Oryctolagus cuniculus: one gene and its partners. The protein of the gene in region 4 interacts with the protein of the main gene of each other region in a pairwise test. Links are inferred from orthologs where the notes say so. Each region holds a gene or a part of one and is shown on either strand. Other genes may lie near its edges.

Region 1 (3,511 bases), on a different chromosome or scaffold from region 4:
ATTAGATCTCTGTTGGGGTTTCTAAAATCTAACAGCTGGTTTTTACCAAGGCAGCTGAGGCCTAGGAGAATGTGTATGACTGCGGGCCCCTTGGGGAGGAATACTTCTTGTACTGAAGGGATTTAGCTCCTGAAACATGATATACCAGAGAAGGACATTTGCAAGAACAGTCATAAAGGAACAGAAGGGCCAGTCATGATCCTTTCTCCAGGAGGAAGCTGACTTCTGTCCTCTTTGGATGAGAGGGAAACCTGGCCTTACTTTAAGAAGTACTTTATTCTTGCTAACACTTGCTTAAATAAGGGTATCACTTATTCATGGTTAAGTTTCTTGCTGCCTAGTACAGATATAAAACTGGAAAAATAAAATGAAGCACTATGTTTCATGCCTTGAGGGACTGTGACTCAGTGCTGGGTTTTCAATCAAGAACTTGTGTGTACCCTTTAATAATTTAGGATAGGATACCCAGAGTAGCTTTTACACCAATAAATGGATGTTTCTTGAAGGTCTGTGTCTTTCTTTCCTCTTAGTCACTAATCCAATTGAATGTGTATTGATTCAGAGTTCTTTTTCAGTCTTTGAATGATAATAGTTCTACACAAAACTAATGGAATTCTCATTGAAAATTTATAAGATATCATTTATAACTTCTTATATTAAAAAAGTTTACTCAATTTTAAGGGTAACCCACATAAAATTAAAAAAAAGGAAAATCCTATTATTTTTAGAGCAATGGGGAAAACAGATAAGCAATATGCATTTTCAGTCGATGAAATAGTCTTCATTCAACAAAATAGTGATTTTTTTTGCCAATAGTAATTGATTTAACGTTGCTACTGTAGTGATTTGTAGTGAATCTGAAAACTATGTAACAGTCAATTTATGAAAATCTAACCACGTAAATTTCGCTATGTCTATAGTTCTGAGATCAAAATGCTCATGTCTGTATCACAAATTTAAATATGTCGTTGTTGTTAAGAGAGATTCCTAATTTGTCAGAAAAAATAAACAAATTGATCTTTTTTATCCTGATTTATAGTGAGCTGATCCAGTTTATTTCAAGTGGTCCTATAATTGCCATGGAGATTTTAAGGGATGATGCCATATGTGAATGGAAAAGACTACTTGGACCTGCAAACTCTGGGGTGGCACGTACAGATGCTTCTGGAAGCATTAGAGCCCTCTTTGGAACTGATGGCATAAGGAATGCAGCTCATGGCCCTGATTCTTTCACTTCAGCTGCCAGAGTAAGGTGTTTTCTCAAAAATATATATTTTAGTTCTATTTTAGTATTGCTAAATGTTTTATGCAAATGTAAAGCATTTCTACTATTGGTGACTTGTGGATTTATGTGGCTGATCTAGTAATGAGAGAACTTTTGACCTTTTGCTTATGATCAAACAAGGTTTTAATGATACAATTAAGTCCCCTTGGGGCCAGCGCTGTGGCACAGTAGATTAATCCTCCACCTGTGGTGCCGGTATCCCATATGGGTGCCAGTTCTAGTCCTGGCTGCACCTCTTCCAATCCAGCTCTCTGCTATGGCCTGGGAAAGCAGTAAAAGATGGCCCAAGTGTTTGGGCCCCTGCACCTGTATGGGAGACCAGAAGAAGCTCCTGGCTCCTGGCTTCAGATCAACGCAGCTCTGGCTGTTGCAGCCATTTGGGGAGTGAACCAATGGAAGGAAGACCTCTTTCTCTGTCTCTCCTTCTCATTTTCTGTAACTCTTCCTCTCAAATAAATAAATAAAATCTTTAAAAAAATAAAAAAATTTTAAAACAAACAATTAAGTCTCCTTTATGAACTGGTAACCTGCTCATAGCCAAAATTGTTCTCCAACTTAAACACTTTTTTCCAAAGACTTGAATTATTGAAAGCCACAGATCTTTGAATTATTGAATTCATGTAAGAATGCTAGTTTATGGGTAGTAAATATTTTTAAAAATCATTTGATATATTATTTCTTTGATTCAGACTTAACAGTGTTTTCAATAAGATTTTTTCATTTTCCTACGATATAGCTAGTGTTTCTAAAAAAGTTTCCCTATATTTATTCGTTATTTTTTTTAAATATAAAGTGTTGCATTGACTTTATACTGAGGTTAAATTAATGAAGTAAAAATTTATTATTAGCATCATGAGAAGTTTTTCAGCCTAATTAAGATGATTCAACCTAGCCATACTTGCAATAACATTATGCTAGACTATTTTAGAATAATGTATTTTTTTCTTGTAATTTCATCAGCAAGTCCTTTAGCTCCACTTTCAGACTCTGAATCTGATCATTGTGGTCAAATTCATTTTTCTGTTTTGCTAGAACTGCAGCAGTAACCTCCTAATTATTCTTTTATCTTACACTCAGTGTTTTAATATGTTCCTTGCCCAGGAAAAATTAAGTATGCCCAATGGTTTTCTTTTTTTTTAAGAGGCTTTTTTAAGAGGTGTTGCTTTTTTTGTTTGTTTTTTGTTTTTTGTTTTTTATTTTACAGGTAGAGTTATAGACAGTGAGAGAGAGAGACAAAGAGAAAGGTCTTCCTTCCATTGGTTTACTCCCCAAATGGCCGCCATGGCCGGCACTGCGCCAATCCGAAGCCAGGAGCCAGGTGCTTCTTCCTGGTCTCCTGCACGGTGCAGGGGCCCAAGCACTTGGGCCATCCTCTACTACCCTCCCAGGCCACAGCAGAGAGCTGGACTGGAACAGGAGCAACCAAAACTAGAACCCGGGCACACATATGGGATGCCAGCGCCGCAGGTGGAGGATTAACCAAGTGAGCCACAGTGCCGGCCCCCAGGTTTTCTTAAAATAAATCAGATTAACATTCACCTGTTGAAAACTCTTCAATTTCTGTCTCTTGGAATAAAATCTAAAGCCTTTATTGTAGCCTCTAATGCTCTAACTGATCTGGCCTCTGTCTTTGTATTTTTATCTTTGACCAGTCTCTACCTTAATCTCCATGTTCTGGGAACACTATCATACTATTCCTTGAATATTTCTTTGTGGGATGTTCCACAAACAGTGAATGCGGCAATGTTGGTCAATTGGAATGAGGGTCGGTGGGGCAAGAGTGATGAGATCATAGAAATAATCAAGGGAGAGGTCGTCTGGTCTTAAAGACGATTGTAGTACTTTCGGCTTTTGTCTGAGAGAAATAGTCGTTTCAGGGTTCTGAGAAGGGGGCTGACATGTTTTACTTGGCATTTAAAAGGATTAGTCTGAGTGTTGCATTGAGAATGGCTGGAGAGGGCAAGAATAGAAATAGGTAGCCTAATCAAGAGTCTGTTGCAATAATTCAGAGAGATGATGGCTGAGGCTGGGGTGGTAGCAATGAGAAAAGTATATAAATGTATTTTAAAGTATTTTAATAGTTGAAGGGTGAACGAGATTTCCTGTCAGTTTGAATTCAGCCTATGAGAAAAAGATAAACAGCAAAAATTATTCCCAAGTTTTTTAGCCTGAGCAACTGAACAGATAGAGTTTATGGGAGCAGAAATTGGCAATCAGTAGGATGTG
Region 2 (4,080 bases), on a different chromosome or scaffold from region 4:
CTCGTTCAGTCATCCCTGGAGGCAGAAGGGAGTCTGGCAGCAGTACTGCCCCCACTTCACAGGTGGGAAAACTGAGGATCACACACGCACGGAGCCAATCTGTTGTCCTGGGGTACTGCACCCAGCCCCAGGGAGCTGGTTGAGAGGTGTTGGACAGGGCAAGTGCCTCAAAAGCTTAGGGGGTGCCCGTGTGGCCCTGCACAGGGCTCTGTCTGCAGCAAGCGTGCAGCCAGTCCCCCACCGCGAGAAGGGTCTACGGCTCCCCAGTGGAACCTGTTCTCAGGCACAAGCCAGGAGGGTGGGCCTTTGCGGCGTAGCCCAGCCTGCAGGCTCCGGGGCTGCCCGGGGCCCACACGGCTCCTCTCGAATAGCCTGCCTTGCCATCCACCCTGGCCAAGAAAAGCTGCCAGGAACCTAATCGGAAGCCCACCACATCCCCAAGGAGCGCAGAGCCGGCCGGTCAGCAGGGCGGGTGGGTGGCTTTGCTCTCATCAGCCAGCTACTGTCCCCAACCCCCGAAGGCGGAGGGAGGAGGGGCCGGTGGGGGAGGCCTGTGTGGGTGAGGAGCCCAGACTTGGCTGGCTCTTCGGATTCCTCCCAGCTGGCGGCGAGGAGGAAAGGTCAGGCTGAGCCGAGCGAGCGGGAGCTGGCCACGCTGCAGCGCCCTGCGCAGGACACGCCGTGGACAGGAGGACGCTAAGGGCAGCCCCCAGTGCCCAGCCCTGTCCCCTCCCCGCGTCCGGCCCGCCCCGATCGTGATCACTTAGCATTTAGGCTGTCACCCTCAACCGACTTTTTATTATGGATCAGAACCTCGCGTTCCCGAACCCCAGCCCTCGGCGGGACATCCAGTACGTGTCAGCGAAGTCAGAAGAAAGTTACTTAGGTCGTCATCATCTCAGACAATGCCCTGGCGGGTTAAGACAAAAGGCGGGGGCCGCGGGTCCCGGGGCGGACACCCTGGCCGCCGTGACGTCATCGGGCCTGTGACGTCACCGCCGCGGCGCCCCGCACCCTGCGGGCCAGATGGCGTCACCATCGGAACCTGCGTAAACAAGTATGCGCTCGGGGAGCCGCGGCGAGAGAGAGACAGAAAGAGACAGAGAGAGAGAGACAGCGCGCTGACCCTGGGGCAGGAGCCGGGCCGGAGGTCCGCTCGGCCCCACAGGGCGTTAGGCCCCCTGACGGGCTGGCCCCGCCCCGGGCGGCCGGCGCGGGCCAATCCGGGCGGGCCGCGGCGCCACGCAGCCTATCAGCGGCCAGGGCTCGCCGGGCGCTTCCGCGTTGGGCAGCTCGCCGGCGCGGGCCGGGCCGCACGCTCGGCCGCAGCCCCGCCTGGCCGCTGCGCGGGGCCCGGGCCACCGCCCGCCGGGGCCCGATGGCCTCGGAGGACCTGGCGGGGGCGCTGGCGGCCGTGCTGGAGGGCCGGGGGCTGCGCGTGCACAGCTGTGACTCGGGGCCGGCCGGGCAGCCGCGAGCGCGGCTGCGGACCAACGTCTCCTACGTGGTGCTGGCCGTGTTCCTCAACGAGCAGGTGAGCGAGCCCGCCGGGCCCTGCTGGGCACGAAGACACAACGGCCAGGGCCGGCGCCGCCTCGCGCGTGGCGTTCCCCAGTTCTGCAAAGCACTCACTCACGCGCGCCTCGCAGCCCTGTGGGTGGCCGGGTGCACAGAGGGCTGCGCCCTGGCCCTCGGTTCCTGCAGCACAGAGCTCCCCTCCCCCAGGGCCTAGCACGGTGTGAGCTGGCTCCCCGGGACGTCTGAGGCGTGGCCTGCGCCCCCCCACCCCCACCCCCGCCTGGTTATGGCACAAGGCAGGCTCACGCTCAGATCTGACCCCTTGTCGCTGCTCTGGGTCCCTGTTGTAGGCTGTGAGATAAGAATCAGAAGGGGCCAGAGCCCCAGGTGGGCCTGCATGGGGGTGTTGGGGGGGGATCAGAACCCAGACCCCAGAGTGAGGACCTGCCACTAGGCTGTGCACCCCATGGGGACGCGGGAGACACACAGTGACACAGTGGAGACACACGCGCAGCCCGATCTTGACCCACAGAGAGCAGCTGGCTGCAGGCCCCCCGCCCCCAGGGAGGGGGTCTTGGGCAACCCCAGGGCAGGGAAGGGCCTGGCTGGCTGGCCTCTCCCGTGCGTGGTGGAGAGTGCCAATCCCCTCTCCCCTCAGGACGAGGTGCTCCTGATCCAGGAGGCCAAGAGAGAGTGCCGGGGGTCGTGGTACCTGCCGGCGGGGAGGATGGAGCCCGGGGAGACCATCGTGGAGGCCCTGCAGCGGGAGGTGAAGGAGGAGGCGGGGCTGCAGTGTGAGCCCGAGACCCTGCTTGCCGTGGAGGAGCGAGGCCCCTCCTGGATCCGTTTTGTGTTCCTGGCTCGTCCCACAGGTATGGCTCTCCTGGGGCAGTGCCGTAGCCGCCTTCCTCCGACTCCTCCACCCCCACCCTGTGGTCTTCCGGTGAGATGAGCCCACTCCCTAGCCAGCCCTGTGCTGACTGCTACAGCTCTGGCACTGGCAGACCCTAGCCTGGGGAGGTGGGAGTGGGGGAGGCTCAGCCCCGGCCCCGGCCCCGCTCGGGGTTAGAACCAGGGTGGCCTGCCGGGTCTGTGTCCTCTGTGAGATCCGGTGCTTCTTCCCACCCACACCACTGCTCCTGCCCCCACTCTCCCCTAGGTGGGACGCTGAAAACCTCACAGGAGGCTGATGCGGAGTCCCTGCAGGCTGGCTGGTACCCACGCAGCTCCCTGGCCACTCCTCTTCGAGCCCAGGACATCCTGCACCTGATAGAGCTGGCCGCCCGGTACCGCCAGCAGGCCAGGCACCCTCCCGTTCTGCCCCAGGAGCTGCCCTGCAGTGTGGTGTGCCAGCGGCTCGTGGCCACCTTCACCGGTGCCCAGACGGTATGGGTGCTGGTGGGCACGGTGGGGGCGCCTCACTTGCCCGTCACGGCCTGTGACTTCGCCCCTATGGAGCAGAGGGGCGGCCTGAAGGTGGCCGTGCTGCGGCTGCTCCAGGAGTGCCTGACCCTGCACAGTTTGGCCGTGGAGACCAAGGGGCTGCTGGGGTTGCAGCACCTGGGCAAGGACCATGCCGACGGCATCTGCCTGAACGTGCTGCTGGCGGTGGCTTTTCGCAACCCGGGCATCCAGGAGGAGCCCCCGAAGATTCGGGGTGAGAACTACGCGTGGTGGAAGGTGGGGGATGCAGGCCTGCAGGGCCAGCTCCTCCAGAGGTTGCTGGACTGTTCTGCTGTCCCACTGAACAGATAGGTGCCCTCCCCGAGGGACGCGGAAGCCAGCAATCTGGGCTCGTGCTGCATCGGCAGCAGAGGCTGCTCTGGGTCTCGGGGCCTGCGGGGAGCAGGCTACCACAGTGCATCAGAAGGGACAGTGCCTTCACCAAGCAAAGGGTCCAGAGGTCCAGGGCCCTGCCGCCAAGGGCACACGATGCGTCTCCCCCCCGGGTTGGGGAGGGGGACGCGGGAGCATCCTGGAGTCTCGTTGTTCTGTGTGCACCCCCATGAAGGCCCCGCCCTGGCCTCTGCGGGCACTTGGGGCTCCCAGGGGACCAGGAGGGCATCCCTTGCTGAGTAAACAGGTGTTGCCACCTGCCTTTCCTGCCCAAATGTCTGTGTGGGGAGGACACGAGGGGGCTGCTGCTGTGTGGCCCCCGGCTCAGCAGTGGCCGCCGCCCAGGCCTTTCCCTGACAGTGTGCTGGCACTGGCACCGGGCAGGACGTCACCGAGGGGACCACAGCCCCAAGGGAGGCTCAGCTATAACCCTGCGGGGTGGAGCAGCGGGCATCTGCAGAGAGCTGCCGGTGGGACGGGAGCTGTGAGTGGTGTCCCCGTCTCTGCCCAGCTCCATTCTCCTGGCCCGCCCTGGGCCGGATCCTCCACCGCCTGGCCTTTTCACAAGTCCAGTCCAAGCTGGAAACCCTTTTCTCCACTGCCCCCAGCCCAGGCCACCCATGGTGGGATTTCTTTCAGCTTTGCGAAAAACACAAGGGGAAAAACCACAGGGGACAAAATGTGCCACTGGCTGTGTTCAGGCCTGTGTCCAGCCACGCTGGGGAG
Region 3 (3,511 bases), on a different chromosome or scaffold from region 4:
TGTGACCCGTCCCACAGCCCCACATTTCCACCTCCCATTCCCACTCTACAGAGGAACGAGCCGCACGCCACAGCTGCGGACTTTATCTGGCAGCAGTCTTGGCCCCTGCTCTGCCCAGCCCTTCCCTCCCCAGGTTTCAGACTCGTGTACCTGCAGGTAGGAGAGGTGATACTCCAGCAGGGCCTGGGCATTGCTGATATTTTCTCGAGTGCCAACAAATATGAAGGGAACCATCCCCTGAGAGCAGAGGGAAGGAAAGCTGATCAGGAAGAATAGTAGAACGCCACGTGCTAGCCCCATCCAGTCGCCAGGGGAACCCACCCAATGGCATCAGTCTAGCTCTAAAGTTACTAGAGCGGCTACAGAATTTCTGTGCATCCTCCCTGCCCCCAAAGTCTTAGCCCTCAGAGAACAAGCCCACCTACTTGTGGAAACCAACCTCTAGTCCTAGTTGGCCCATACCTCCTCCCTGGGGTTCTTCTTGTCATTGTCACCTTCCACTCGCACCCTCACCACACCAGACTTATCCACGATCTCCTGGATCACTTTCCCATTCTTTCCGATCACTTTGCCTAAATGGGTAAAGGAGGAATTAGGCCTTTTTTTTTTTTTTAAAGGTAAGGTCAAAACAGCCTCCCAGCCTCATCCTTCTCTCTCTGTACAGATTGCATTTCGTTAATTCTCCTGCTTCTAAGTTGTTGGTTAGGTTTTACAGAAAGGACGGATGTCTGACCCAACAGTAAACTGCTGCTGGGATGCCCATGTTCCCTACTGGGGCTCCTAGTTCGAGTCCCAGCTACTCAGTTTCCAATCCAGGTCCCTGCTAGTGCACACCCTGGGAGGCAGCAGATGATGGCTCATGCATACTTGGGTCCCTGCCTGCCACCCATGAGGGAGACCCCAGATGGAGTTCTGGGCTCCAGGCTTCGGCCTGACCTTGCCCTAGCTGTTACAGACATTTGGAGAGTGAACTAGTGGATGGAAAATGTAATGCCTTTTGGGGCCGGTGCCATGGCTCACTAGGCTAATCCTCCACCTGCGGTACTGGCATCCCATATGATCGCTGGGTTCTAGTCTTGGTTGCCCCTCTTCCAGTCCAGCTCTCTGCTGTGGCCCAGGAAGGCAGTGGAGGATGGCCCAAGTCCTTGGGCCCTGCACCCGCATGGGAGACCAGGAGGAAGCACCTGGCTCCTAGCTTCAGATCGGCGCAGCGCTGGCCATAGCGGCCATTTGGGGAGTGAACCAACAGAAGGAAGACCTTTCTGTCTATATCTCTAATTGTCAAATTAAAACAAAAAGAAAAAATGTAATTACCTTTCTACTAAAATGAAAGTAAAAAATTTTATCCCTAGAAATTTATTCTTCCTTTTTTTTTTTTTTTTATTCCGACTACAGACTTTCTGTCCTTGTGAAATCAAGAGTTACCAATACCCACTACAAGCCCAGAGTCATTTAAGGAGACTCACAACTGGCCCCTAACTACTCTCTTTTATACACACACACCCAACTCACCAACCAGGTTCCTGGGCACTTGCACTGAATCTTCAGAAAACTCCAGGTAGCTCCGAGCCTGTCGGCATGCCTCTGGCGTCTAGGGGAAGAATGAAGTGGCGTCACTAAAACAGGACCTGGATCTCAAATAACGATCTTCCTGTCTTTGGGAAGATATGCTGCCAAGTTCAGCAAAGTCACATAGCTTAGGCTTATTTCCCACTCCCTTCCCTCTACCCACTACAGGATCTTGAAGACAGATCTTTTGCTGACCTCCCCATAGATGCGGAAAGTGCAGGTTTCTTCACCCAACTCAATGGCGGTCACTCCAGGTACTTTTCGGGCCTGCTGGATATTGGCCCCATGAGTCCCAATTGCCAGTCCCATCAGGTCCTCTCGCACTGTAAACTCTTCCTGGAATGCTGCTGCCAGCTGCTTGCTTGTCTGAAAGGAAAACCACTCGAACAATCATGGTGGTGGAATCGCAGAACACCTATGCCAGGTAGTAGACTCTGCGTAACAGAGAAGCATGCTGGGGGCTAGCAGTGTGGCACAGTGAATTAAGCCACCACTTGTGATGCTGGCATCTCCTATCAGAGTGCCAGTTTGAGTCCAGGCTGCTCTGCTTCTGATCCAGCTTCCTGCTAACGCACCAGGGAGACAAGTACCCAAGTACCCCTGCCACCAACGAGGGAGACCTGGATGGAATCCTGGCTTTGGCTGGCCTACCACCAGCCATGACAGCCATCTGGGAAGTGAATCAGCATATGGAAGCACACTCTCCTCCCCCCACCACTTTCTGTCACTCTGCCTTTCAAATAAATAAATCGATCTTTTAAAAAAAAAAAAAAAAAAAAAAACCGGCCGGCGCCGTGGCTCACTAGGCTAATCCTCCGCCTAGCGGCGCCGGCACACCGGGTTCTAGTCCTGGTTGGGGCACCGGATTCTGTCCCGGTTGCCCCTCTTCCAGGCCAGCTCTCTGCTGTGGCCCGGGAGTGCAGTGGAGGATGGCCCAGGTGCTTGGGCCCTGCACCCCATGGGAGACCAGGATAAGTACCTGGCTCCTGCCATCGGATCAGCGCAGCGCGCCGGCCGCGGCGGCCATTGGAGGGTGAACCAACGGCAAAGGGAGGACCTTTCTCTCTGTCTCTCTCACTGTCCACTCTGCCTGTCAAAAAAAATAATAAATAAATAAAAATAAATAAATAAATTAAAAAAAAAAAAAAAACAAAACCACACTGGAGTCAGCTGACCGGTAGGAACTATGCAGAAAATTCAGGAACTTTCAAATAGCAATGGCTTGAGGGGAGAAGAACCACCAAAGTTCTGGATTTGGCTCTAACACCATGTGGTTGTGTGATCCTAGAGAAAACACACACCCTGTGCCTCTGACCTGTCACCTGCTAAGTGGCTACATCTGACCTATACCACTTTCAACACCAGCAAGATCTGACGAAGTTCATGTGATCTGCAAAGTGTAAATAACTAACCTTAACTAAATGAATACCAACTTCTCCCAACAAGTTGATTAGAAAGCAAGAGACTGAGAAAAGAAAAAAATGAGCCTATGGAACACCACATTTCTCAACCAGGGCTCCTAAACTCAAGGGCAGGAAGACAGGAAAATTTCAAATACTCTGCTAATTCTAAGATGAAATACTCCCAAATCAAGAATTTACACTAGACAAGATGGCAAAGCTGAAGAAAAAAGGGAACAAACTGGACGATCAAGCATCACTGAGTTCGGGAAAGATCTACACAGACTTTTGTTTTCTACAGAAGTCTGCACATGTCTATCTTTTATATAGGCAATATTTTGAAATAATTTTTAGAAAATGCAATAGCAAAAAAAGACCGATGAGACCACTACTATGGCGTAGTAGGCTAGGCCTCTACCTATGGTACCGGCATCCCATATGGACCCCAGTTCGTGTCCCAGCTGCTACACTTCTGATCCAACTCTCTGCTGTGGCCTGGGAAAGCAGTGGAAGACAGCCCGAGTTCTTGGGCCCCTGTACCT
Region 4 (4,305 bases):
ACCTTCCCCCAACACCGAGGCAGACCATATCCCAGAAACACCAATTCCTGGGCTCACAGAAATCCTTTCAAAGTCAACCAAACAAGCCGCGGGGAGGCTGTCACCGGCTCCCATGGCTCACTTCTTATTGGGGGTGGGGACTGTCCTGCAGGTCGCCAGCGCGTGTGTGCCCACTTGCTAACAAAGAAGCATACATGTTAGAACTTCCAATTTTAAGGGGTCTTTTGTTAGAAGAGCTCAGACAGGAATCCAAGTGAGGGGCAGAGAAGGAGGGCTTCCAGGCTGCTAGAATTAAGAGCGGAGACTCCAGGGCTTTTTGTTCGCCAGCGCCTCCAGTCGGGGCTCTTCTCTCGCTCACCCTCCCTTCGGTTCCCAGGGCCCGTGTTCCAGACAGCGCAGACTCGAGCAGAGACAGAGTGCCCAGCCCTTCCTTACCTGGTAGCCGGCCACCTCAGCGCTGTGCCGCTCCTCCAGTTCCAGGATCTGCCTCTCCAAAGACTCGTTGGCCCCGCGCAGGCCCTCGATCTCGATGGTGCGTGCCTGTAGTTGGCGCCGGTACTCGTGGATCTCCTCGCGGCTGGCCCGGATGGCCTCAGTGCTGCGCGCTGCCTGCTCGTTCAGGTTGGCGAACTTGGACTTGTACCACTCCTCGGCGGACTGGAGATTCTTAGCGGCCAGGGACTCATACTGGGCGCGGATCTCCCTCAGCGCCGAGCTCAGGTCTGGTTTAGCCACAGCCACGTCCACCTCGGCCGCGGCCTGCGACGACGCCTGCAGCGTGGCCAGCAGCTCGGCTACCTCTTCGTCGTGCACCTGGCGCACGAAGGCCAGCTCGTCCAGCAGCGACTCTACCTTCTTCTCCAGGTCCAGGCGGGCCAGCGTGGCGCCGTCCACGTCGCGCTGCTGCGCCTTCAGAGCGCGCTCGGCGCCCTCGCGCCCGCGGCTCTCCTCCTCGCAGCGGGCCCGCAGCCGCTGCACCTCCTCGGCCAGCCCGTCGCGCTCCAGCAGGGCCTGCGCGCGCGCCGAGCTCGCCTCTTCCAGCTGCGCGCGCAGGTCGCGCAGCTCGCGCTGGAAGAGCTCGCCGACGCGCGACGGCTCGGCGTGGCGCTGCCGCAGCGCGGCCAGCTCGGCCTCGAGCGCCCGGTTCTGCGTCTCCAGCTGGTGCACTTTCTCGATGAACACGGCGAAGCGGTCGTTGAGGCCCTGCAGCTGCTCCTTCTCGTTGGTGCGGATGATCTTGTACTCGTTGGTACGCGCCGCCGCTTGACTCAGGTCCAGACCGTCGGACGCCGGTAGCCGGCGGTAGGCCAGGCCCAGGCCGAGGGACGAGGCCGAGGAGCAGGCGCCCGAGGAGGCCACATTGCAGCGGGTCAGCGACTGCGAGCGGAAGCCGCCTGCGCCGCCGGCCCCGGAGAGGCGCGCGGACAGGCGAGAGCCGTCCCCGAACACCTTGCGGTAGGAGGAGGCGGAGCACAGGTAGTGCTCCGAGCCAAAGCTCATGGTGCCGGGATCGGCGCCGGGCGTGCGGCTGCGGCTGGAGGTACGGAGCAAAGGCGAGGTGGGCAGGCGGGGTGCGGCAGGGCGGTGCGCACCGGCTTTTAAGGCGCGGGGGGCCGGGGCGGGGCGCGGGGGGCGGAGCTCCAGCTCCGGGCCAGGCCGGGAGAGGGAAGGAAGGGGGGCACCCAGGAGCGGGGGCGGGGAAGCGCAGTGCCTACCGCAGCTGCGCGCGACCTACCTAGGGCGCGGGGACAGGCCCTAGTGCGTAGAAGCCGCCTTCCGTCCGCAGCGCCTCTTCCCCCGAAAATCGAGTGCTTTGAAAGAAACTTGAGCTCAGGGGTCTCCCACCCGGAGACCACGCGCATCTCTGTCGCGTCCCTGGCCTGTATCCCGCCTTCCCCCTCTGACCCACCGGGAGGGCAGGGCTTCCTGGGAGATGTGCCCTTCACCCATCCCCATCCCTGCGTTCCTCAGGGTGAGTCCTGCTTTTCCGGACGAGGCCCTGTCCCCCACCTCGGGCTCCCGGGTTCCCAGAGGGAAAGTGTGTCTGCGGCTCTCCGAGAGCAGCTGCGGGGCTGGGCCTCTGGAGATCCCGGGATGGGAGGGTGCGACGCCCGCCCGCCTGGGAGGCCCCGGAGATGGAGATCGGTAAAGACAGGGAGTGGTGCACCGAGCTGAAGCTGGGGAGAGTGGGAAGAAGAGGTGGTAGAGGAGAGAGGGGCCAGGCCTGGAAGAGGAGGAAGCTCTGGGAGTTACTGGGGCCGGTCCACAGGGCACTAGTGCGGTACAGATTAGAATCACAGATGCGAGAAGGGGCTGCAGACTTCGTTTTTCAAGCACTTTTTTTTTTTTAATTTTGTTCATTTGCTTATTTTCATTTTATTTGAAAGGCAGATAAACCAAGAGAGAACTACTTAAATACAGATGGGTTTCCACGTGCTTGTTCACTGTCTAAATGCTGGCATCTGCCAGGACTGGGTCAGGCTGAAGCCAGGAGCCAGGAACTCCTGGGTCTCCCATGTGGGAGGCAGGGACCCATCATCCTCTGCCTCCCAGGGTGTGCATTAGCAGGGAGCTGGTTCAGAAGCACAGAGTCGCTGGGACTGGAACCAGGAAGTCTCACAGCGGGTGCAGACACCCAAGGTAATGACTTAAGTTGCTGTACCACTGCACCGAATGCCTGCCCCAAGCGCTTTATTTTAAAACATTTCAGGCCGGCGCTGCAGCTCACTAGGCTAATCCTCTGCCTGTGGCACCAGCACCCCGGATTCTGGTCCCAGTTGGGGCTCCAGATTCTGTCCCGGTTGCCCCTCTTCCAGTCCAGCTCTCTGCTGTGGCCCAGGAAGGCAGTGGAGGGTGGCCCAAGTCCTTGGGCCCTGCACCCCATGGGAGACCAGGAGAAGCACCTGGCTCCTGGCTCTGGATCTGCAGAAGCAGCCATTTGGGGGGTGAACCAACAGAAAAGAAAGACTTTTCTCTCTGTCTCTCTCTCTCACTGTCTAACTCTGCCTGTCAAAAAAAATTTTTTTTCAAAAGGAGCCTTTTAAAACTGCTTGGGGGGTTTCACCTAGAAAGAAATTGGATCTGGCTGCTTCTAAGATAGGAAGAGCTGGGCTGGCATGACGGGAGGAGGTGGGGTGTGCCATTTGCTCACGAAATGTGCTCTTTCTTTCACAGCTGGCCCCATCACTCGCCACTGAAGTGCCCTTACCTACTAAAGTCATTTACTTTTCCCGTTTGGCCCAGTGGGCATTTGCAGTCCAGCCTCTGTAAGTCTTGCAGGACAGGCCCTCATGTGGCTTTGGAGAACTAGCCACTTCTGCAGAGCTCTCTCTGTACAGAAGAGGTCCCTGCAAGCAGATTAACCCTCAGGAGCTGGGAAGAGCACTGGTGACTGCACTGGCCTCCTTTAACACACAGTGGAAGGAATTTCAGAATGGGCTCTAGACAGATGTAGACAGATGAGGCTGGGAGGGGTCAACATGGGGTTGTCGGTAGGCGCTCTCAGGGTTATACCGTGGTGCAGGATGTGGGCCTCGCTTCAGAGACGGACTAGCAGGACTGTGTTGGTTGTATTCCAGACTTCCAGACTGAGGGCTGGTTTTGGTCTAGAAATCTCCAGGTGTATTTCTAGGATATGTTTATTTCCTCTCATGGGGGCAGGGTCACATGATATTACCTGGGGAAGGCCAGCCAAGAAAGGGGAAGAGGAATCTTTTTTTTTTTTAAGATTATTTATTTGAAAGGCATAATTATATAGAGGGAGAGAGAGAGAGAGAGAGAGAGCAACAGCTGGAGCTGGGCTGATCCAAAGCCAGGAGCCAGGAGCTTCTTCTGGATCTCCCACATAGGTACAGGGCCCAAGGACTTGGGCCATCCTCTACTGCTTTCCCAGGCCATAGCAGAGAGCTAGATTGGAAGTGGAGCAGCTGGGACTTGAACCAGCGCCCATAGGAGATGCTGGCAGTGCAGGTGGCGGCTTTACCTGCTCTGCCTCAGCTCCGGTCCAGGAAGGGGGAATCTTATGGAATTCTGGAGCATACCTCCTGCCTATGCTTGATATCGTGTGAGACGGTGGAGTCCAGCTGCAGCCTCCCCATCTGGTTGCTTGTCACAGACCAAATACTTGAGCTGGGGGGACTTAATTCTGAGGTCTTTGGGCTCAGAAAGTCTTGGTGAAGAATGAGATGGAAGTGTGCTGACACCACCAAGTAATCAATCATTGTCTGCCAGCCATCATGGCTGCACTTTTACACAGGTCTGCCTCCTTCTGGCTGCTGTTCAAGGTGGCCGTCACTCTAATCCTAC
Region 5 (3,940 bases), on a different chromosome or scaffold from region 4:
AATAAAGGTAAACTGGAATAATTAAGGGCCATTTCCATCCTAATTGTGCTAGATAATGAAGGGCTCTCTGATTGTCATGCGCACCAAAGAACAAAAGCAGCTTTGAGTGCAGTGACTGGGGTTTGAGCATCTGAAGATTAGGGCTGTCTGGAAATGAGGTTGCACTTCTCAGGGATGCACAGGAATATTGCTTGGTGGCTGCATCTTTGTATCTGGCAGAGTTCTAAATTCATAGTCATTAATATATTTCCCTGCCCAAATAATGCAGAATTAAATAGAGTCATACGATCCTGGTGGAAACCAATGGCGAATGGTATTTAATAAAATGCTTGCAATATCAGAGATGACCAGCCATCACAAAAGATATGTGGGCTTTTGGAGTCTCATTTAGTAGTTGTGGAAGCTTCTTTTGGGAGCCATGTTTTTTCCATATATCCTAAATTCTACTTAATGTATTTCCATGTCTCTTGAAAGTGTGCCTAAAAATTGTAAAAGGCAATTTAAAAAAGTATTTATTAATTATTTATTTCAAAGGCAGAGAGAGTTTTCATGTGTTGGTTCACCCCCACCCCCACCCCCAATGCCTGTAACAGCCAGGGCTGGGCCACATGAGCCAGGAGCTAATTGATCAGGGTCTCTCACCTGAGTGCGGGGGAACCATCACCTGCTGCTGCCGAGGGTGCACATTACAGGAGGCTGAAATGGAACCAGGACCCAAACACAGGCACTCAGATACATGATGCAGATTCCAAGTAGCTCCAACACAGACCCTTAAAACGCAATTCTTAGTCGTTTGTTACTCCTCAGGCAATATGCATGACACGCTACAGAAGGATCAGGAAGACCCAGTTCTTTCTCTCAGGACACCAGGGAGCTGGCATTTGATGACTCCTACTATGAACTAGGAACACTTTCCTCTCTAGGTGGTCTGGAAGTGGCCGCGGTGGATCCAACGCCTCCTTTCTCAAGTAACATCTTCCTCGCCGCCCTGGCCCAAGGGTCAGCGTCTTTTCTGCAAAGTTGGGAGCCCCCACACAAGGCCCACATCCTGTAACTTGCCCGAGGCAACACTATCCTGAAGGCTCACCCACAGAGCTGCCGTCCCGCAGGCGGCCGCCAGGGGTCCCCGCTCGGCGTCCCGCACGCTGCTCGTCAAGCCCCGGCGGGCTGTGCGGCGCGCTGGGCGCATGTTGGGGCTGCTTTGGAGTCGCAGCGGCTGCAGCGGGAGCCCGGGCGCTGGCCCCAGAGCCCCTCGTGTGGATCCGCAAGCGTCTCCCCTCCTGCCCGAGTTCACTGCTTTTCTCTCGCGCCGCCTGCAGCTGATCCAGTGAAGGGAGCCGACAGGGCCCTGGCTCGAAGGTAAATCCCCGCGGTGAGAGAGAACCGCTCCGGGCGACGGAAGGCGGCGCAGCCCGGCAGCTCCTCGCTCCCGTTCGCGCCCAGGCGGGCAGAGGTATGGGGTACACCTGGGGCGGGTGCAACAGGGGAGTGGGGGTGGTGTCGGACCCTTCTCTCCTGCCCTCAGTCCCCGGGGCTTCCGGGGCCAGAGCCCGCTTTAAAACCGAGCCCCAGCCGTGGCTGCCGGCCGGCTCCCTGGGCGCAGTACCCGGGCAGGAGCGAGGGTCGAGTTCCCACCGCGGGATCCGTGGCCTTGACTTTACAAGATCTGAGCGAAAACGCCTCCCACGGTCCGGAACCGCAGATGGGTGCGGGGTGCCGAGCTGGGCTGTGTGTGGCGAGAACAACTTTTCGGCAAGTGCACTTGGGCAGGGGGATCACGTTTGAGCGTCCGGCTGGGCTTGGGGCCGCGTCGGGGAACTCCGCGCCGTCAGCCGGGTCGCCCCGGGGCTTGCGGGTGCTTCGTGGAGGGCGGTAGTGAGTTAAGAACCTACAAATCCTGCTGAACTCTTGGGCCAACAGCTGTCAAGCTTCGGCAGTGCCAGCCCCTCCCTTTGCCTGTACCGGGGAGGAAGGGGGAAAACCTCACAACTTTTCTTCGCTTGCTCCTCCCCGCTTTCGGACCCCTCTCGCGAGGGTCAAGGGCCGAACCCTGGCGCCAGGCAGGTACTAGAGACCTTAAATCCCTCGGGATCCGCCTCACCCTCCTTCCCGGGCCCCTCCTAGCGCCCTCCCCGCGGGGACCGCGCTACTGAGCCGGCTGTGGTCGCGGCGAATGGCCTTTTGTTTCTCCGCGTTTCTCCCATTGTTTGCCTTTCCAACATCTGGCGAGGCTTGGGAAGCGAAAGAAGCCCCTCTGTCGCCCCTCTCCCCGGTCCCCCGTGCCTCCCGCGCCAGCCGCTTGGCCCGCCCGGGTTGGGGATCCGGGCCGAGGGAGAGAGGAGCCCGACCCTAGAGAGGCCGCCCCAGCCGAGGCCCTGTGGTTAGGAGGGCGGAGGGAAAGTGGTCCCTTCTCCGCCTCCTCGGCTGCCTGTGGCCCAGGGCGCATTTTTCAGATCTTATCCCAGGCGCGCCGCAAAGGGCGCAAGTTTGAAAAGGGTGCTGCTTTCGAGAGAGTGGAAAGGAGGTTCCGCCCCGCCCCAGGGTGTCCAGTGGCTGGTTCCATTTCAGTCTCCCTGCGAAAGCGGTGTGGCTGGGTGCTGCCAGGGCAGGAGGAGGGTGTCAGGGCCCCTCTGGTTAGGCAGAAAGCCGCGGTTCTGGGGTTTGCAAGTTTCCAAGGACTGGAGGGCAGGGAGGGAGATGCAAATAGACTTTTAGCTTCAAGCCTGGAAATCTGTAGTGCGGTGGTTCGCTTCCGCCTAAGCCTAGAGTTCTGGTTTCACTAGGGCTTGAAGTGCCCTCCCTGTAGTGTAGGAAAAGCGGATCCTGAGGATTCGGGCCGAGCAAGAAAGACCCGGTGACCTGGGCTGGGCCCGAGCTTCCCTGTGCAGGTTGCAGGTGGCCCTGGTTCCCTGTTCAAGTTAGATGCTCACACCCGCTGTTCCCTCTCGGGCAATGTGGATTACCTATCAAGGGGCTTCGTGGAGAGCAAAGCTACCTCTGGGAGAAGGCAGGGGCCCCAGGTGGTGCTCAGAGTCATTTAGCCTGTGAGCGGGAGGCCAAGCCTGCACACCTGTTGGAACCTATACTTTTGCATAGCCTGGCAGTGGACTGGGTTTTGTGGGGTGACCACAAAAGGAGCCCCTCTTCCAAGGAGGTTCAATTACACTCATTTTGTCCTTCAACTTAAAAAAAAATACTCACATGAAAGGCAGTCATAGAAAAAGCGAGAGAAATCTTTCATTTCTTGGTTCACTCCCTAAATATCTGTGAAGGCTGGGGCTGGGCGGGGCAGAAGCCAGGAGCCTGGGACAACATCCTGATCTCCCCTGTGGGTGGCAGGGGCCAAAGGACAGGGGCCATCTTCTTCTGCTTTTCCAGGCACATTCGCAGGCAGCTGGATCAGAGCTGGAGTAGCTCCAAGGACTTACGCTGTTTGGAACAGGGGCTTAACCCGCTTTGCCACCCTAGCCCCATGTCCTCCAACTTTTGATCCCTCACCTCCTCAGGGGAGGGAGGAGCTTTCGGGGAACTTGGGATTTAAACTTGGAGTCCTGTGTGAAGTCCGAACCTCACGTTCCTTCTGGGGTGAATCACCACACTACTTGTGACCTGGGAACTCACTCAAACATTTTTAGTGGAAATTGTGCTTGGCTCTACACAGTTCTAAGAATTTTTCCTTTATAGACTTAACAGAACTTTGGGGCTTGTATTTATTTGTTTATTTGAAAAACAGAGTGACACAGAAAGAGAAAGGGAAAGAGAAAGTATTTTCTGCTTGTGGTTCACTCCCCACATGGCTGCAGCCGCCATGGCTATGCCAAGCCACAGCCAGGAGCTCCGTCTGGGTCTTCCACGTGGGTGCATTTCTGACTTAAACAATGAAAGGCACTACACATTTCCGAAGCTTTTTCCAGATCTTTAGATACAGGAATCAAACAGT

Evidence for each region.
Region 1: the proteins of NT5C2 (region 4) and NME7 interact in binary tests that used the Homo sapiens proteins (3 or more experiments, as listed by UniProt). The two-hybrid records come from large-scale screens. The link is inferred for Oryctolagus cuniculus from reciprocal best matches to the Homo sapiens genes NT5C2 and NME7.
Region 2: the proteins of NT5C2 (region 4) and NUDT18 interact in binary tests that used the Homo sapiens proteins (3 or more experiments, as listed by UniProt). The two-hybrid records come from large-scale screens. The link is inferred for Oryctolagus cuniculus from reciprocal best matches to the Homo sapiens genes NT5C2 and NUDT18.
Region 3: the proteins of NT5C2 (region 4) and FXR2 interact in binary tests that used the Homo sapiens proteins (3 or more experiments, as listed by UniProt). The two-hybrid records come from large-scale screens. The link is inferred for Oryctolagus cuniculus from reciprocal best matches to the Homo sapiens genes NT5C2 and FXR2.
Region 5: the proteins of NT5C2 (region 4) and MOB3B interact in binary tests that used the Homo sapiens proteins (3 or more experiments, as listed by UniProt). The two-hybrid records come from large-scale screens. The link is inferred for Oryctolagus cuniculus from reciprocal best matches to the Homo sapiens genes NT5C2 and MOB3B.

What each region holds. Positions count from the first base shown.
Region 1 is NC_091438.1:29,426,514-29,430,024, forward strand, and holds part of NME7 (nucleoside diphosphate kinase homolog 7), read left to right. Parts: intron 1-1,039; coding exon 1,040-1,247; intron 1,248-3,511. UniProt on the Homo sapiens protein: Possesses an intrinsic kinase activity. Displays 3'-5' exonuclease activity with a preference for single-stranded DNA. Does not seem to have nucleoside diphosphate kinase activity.
Region 2 is NC_091439.1:1,194,111-1,198,190, forward strand, and holds NUDT18 (8-oxo-dGDP phosphatase NUDT18), read left to right. Parts: upstream 1-1,272; 5' UTR 1,273-1,378; coding exon 1,379-1,534; intron 1,535-2,176; coding exon 2,177-2,390; intron 2,391-2,677; coding exon 2,678-3,273; 3' UTR 3,274-3,616; downstream 3,617-4,080. UniProt on the Homo sapiens protein: Mediates the hydrolysis of oxidized nucleoside diphosphate derivatives. Hydrolyzes 8-oxo-7,8-dihydroguanine (8-oxo-Gua)-containing deoxyribo- and ribonucleoside diphosphates to the monophosphates. Hydrolyzes 8-oxo-dGDP and 8-oxo-GDP with the same efficiencies.
Region 3 is NC_091448.1:52,159,767-52,163,277, forward strand, and holds part of FXR2 (RNA-binding protein FXR2), read right to left. Parts: intron 1,936-3,511; coding exon 1,765-1,935; intron 1,592-1,764; coding exon 1,513-1,591; intron 573-1,512; coding exon 463-572; intron 238-462; coding exon 151-237; intron 1-150. UniProt on the Homo sapiens protein: mRNA-binding protein that acts as a regulator of mRNAs translation and/or stability, and which is required for adult hippocampal neurogenesis. Specifically binds to AU-rich elements (AREs) in the 3'-UTR of target mRNAs.
Region 4 is NC_091446.1:26,728,712-26,733,016, forward strand, and holds the start of NT5C2 (cytosolic purine 5'-nucleotidase), read left to right. Parts: upstream 1-1,500; 5' UTR 1,501-1,540; intron 1,541-4,305. Other genes in the region: INA (alpha-internexin), read right to left, coding at 436-1,500. UniProt on the Homo sapiens protein: Broad specificity cytosolic 5'-nucleotidase that catalyzes the dephosphorylation of 6-hydroxypurine nucleoside 5'-monophosphates.
Region 5 is NC_091432.1:190,810,297-190,814,236, reverse strand, and holds the start of MOB3B (MOB kinase activator 3B), read left to right. Parts: upstream 1-1,140; 5' UTR 1,141-1,453; intron 1,454-3,940. UniProt on the Homo sapiens protein: Modulates LATS1 expression in the Hippo signaling pathway which plays a pivotal role in organ size control and tumor suppression by restricting proliferation and promoting apoptosis.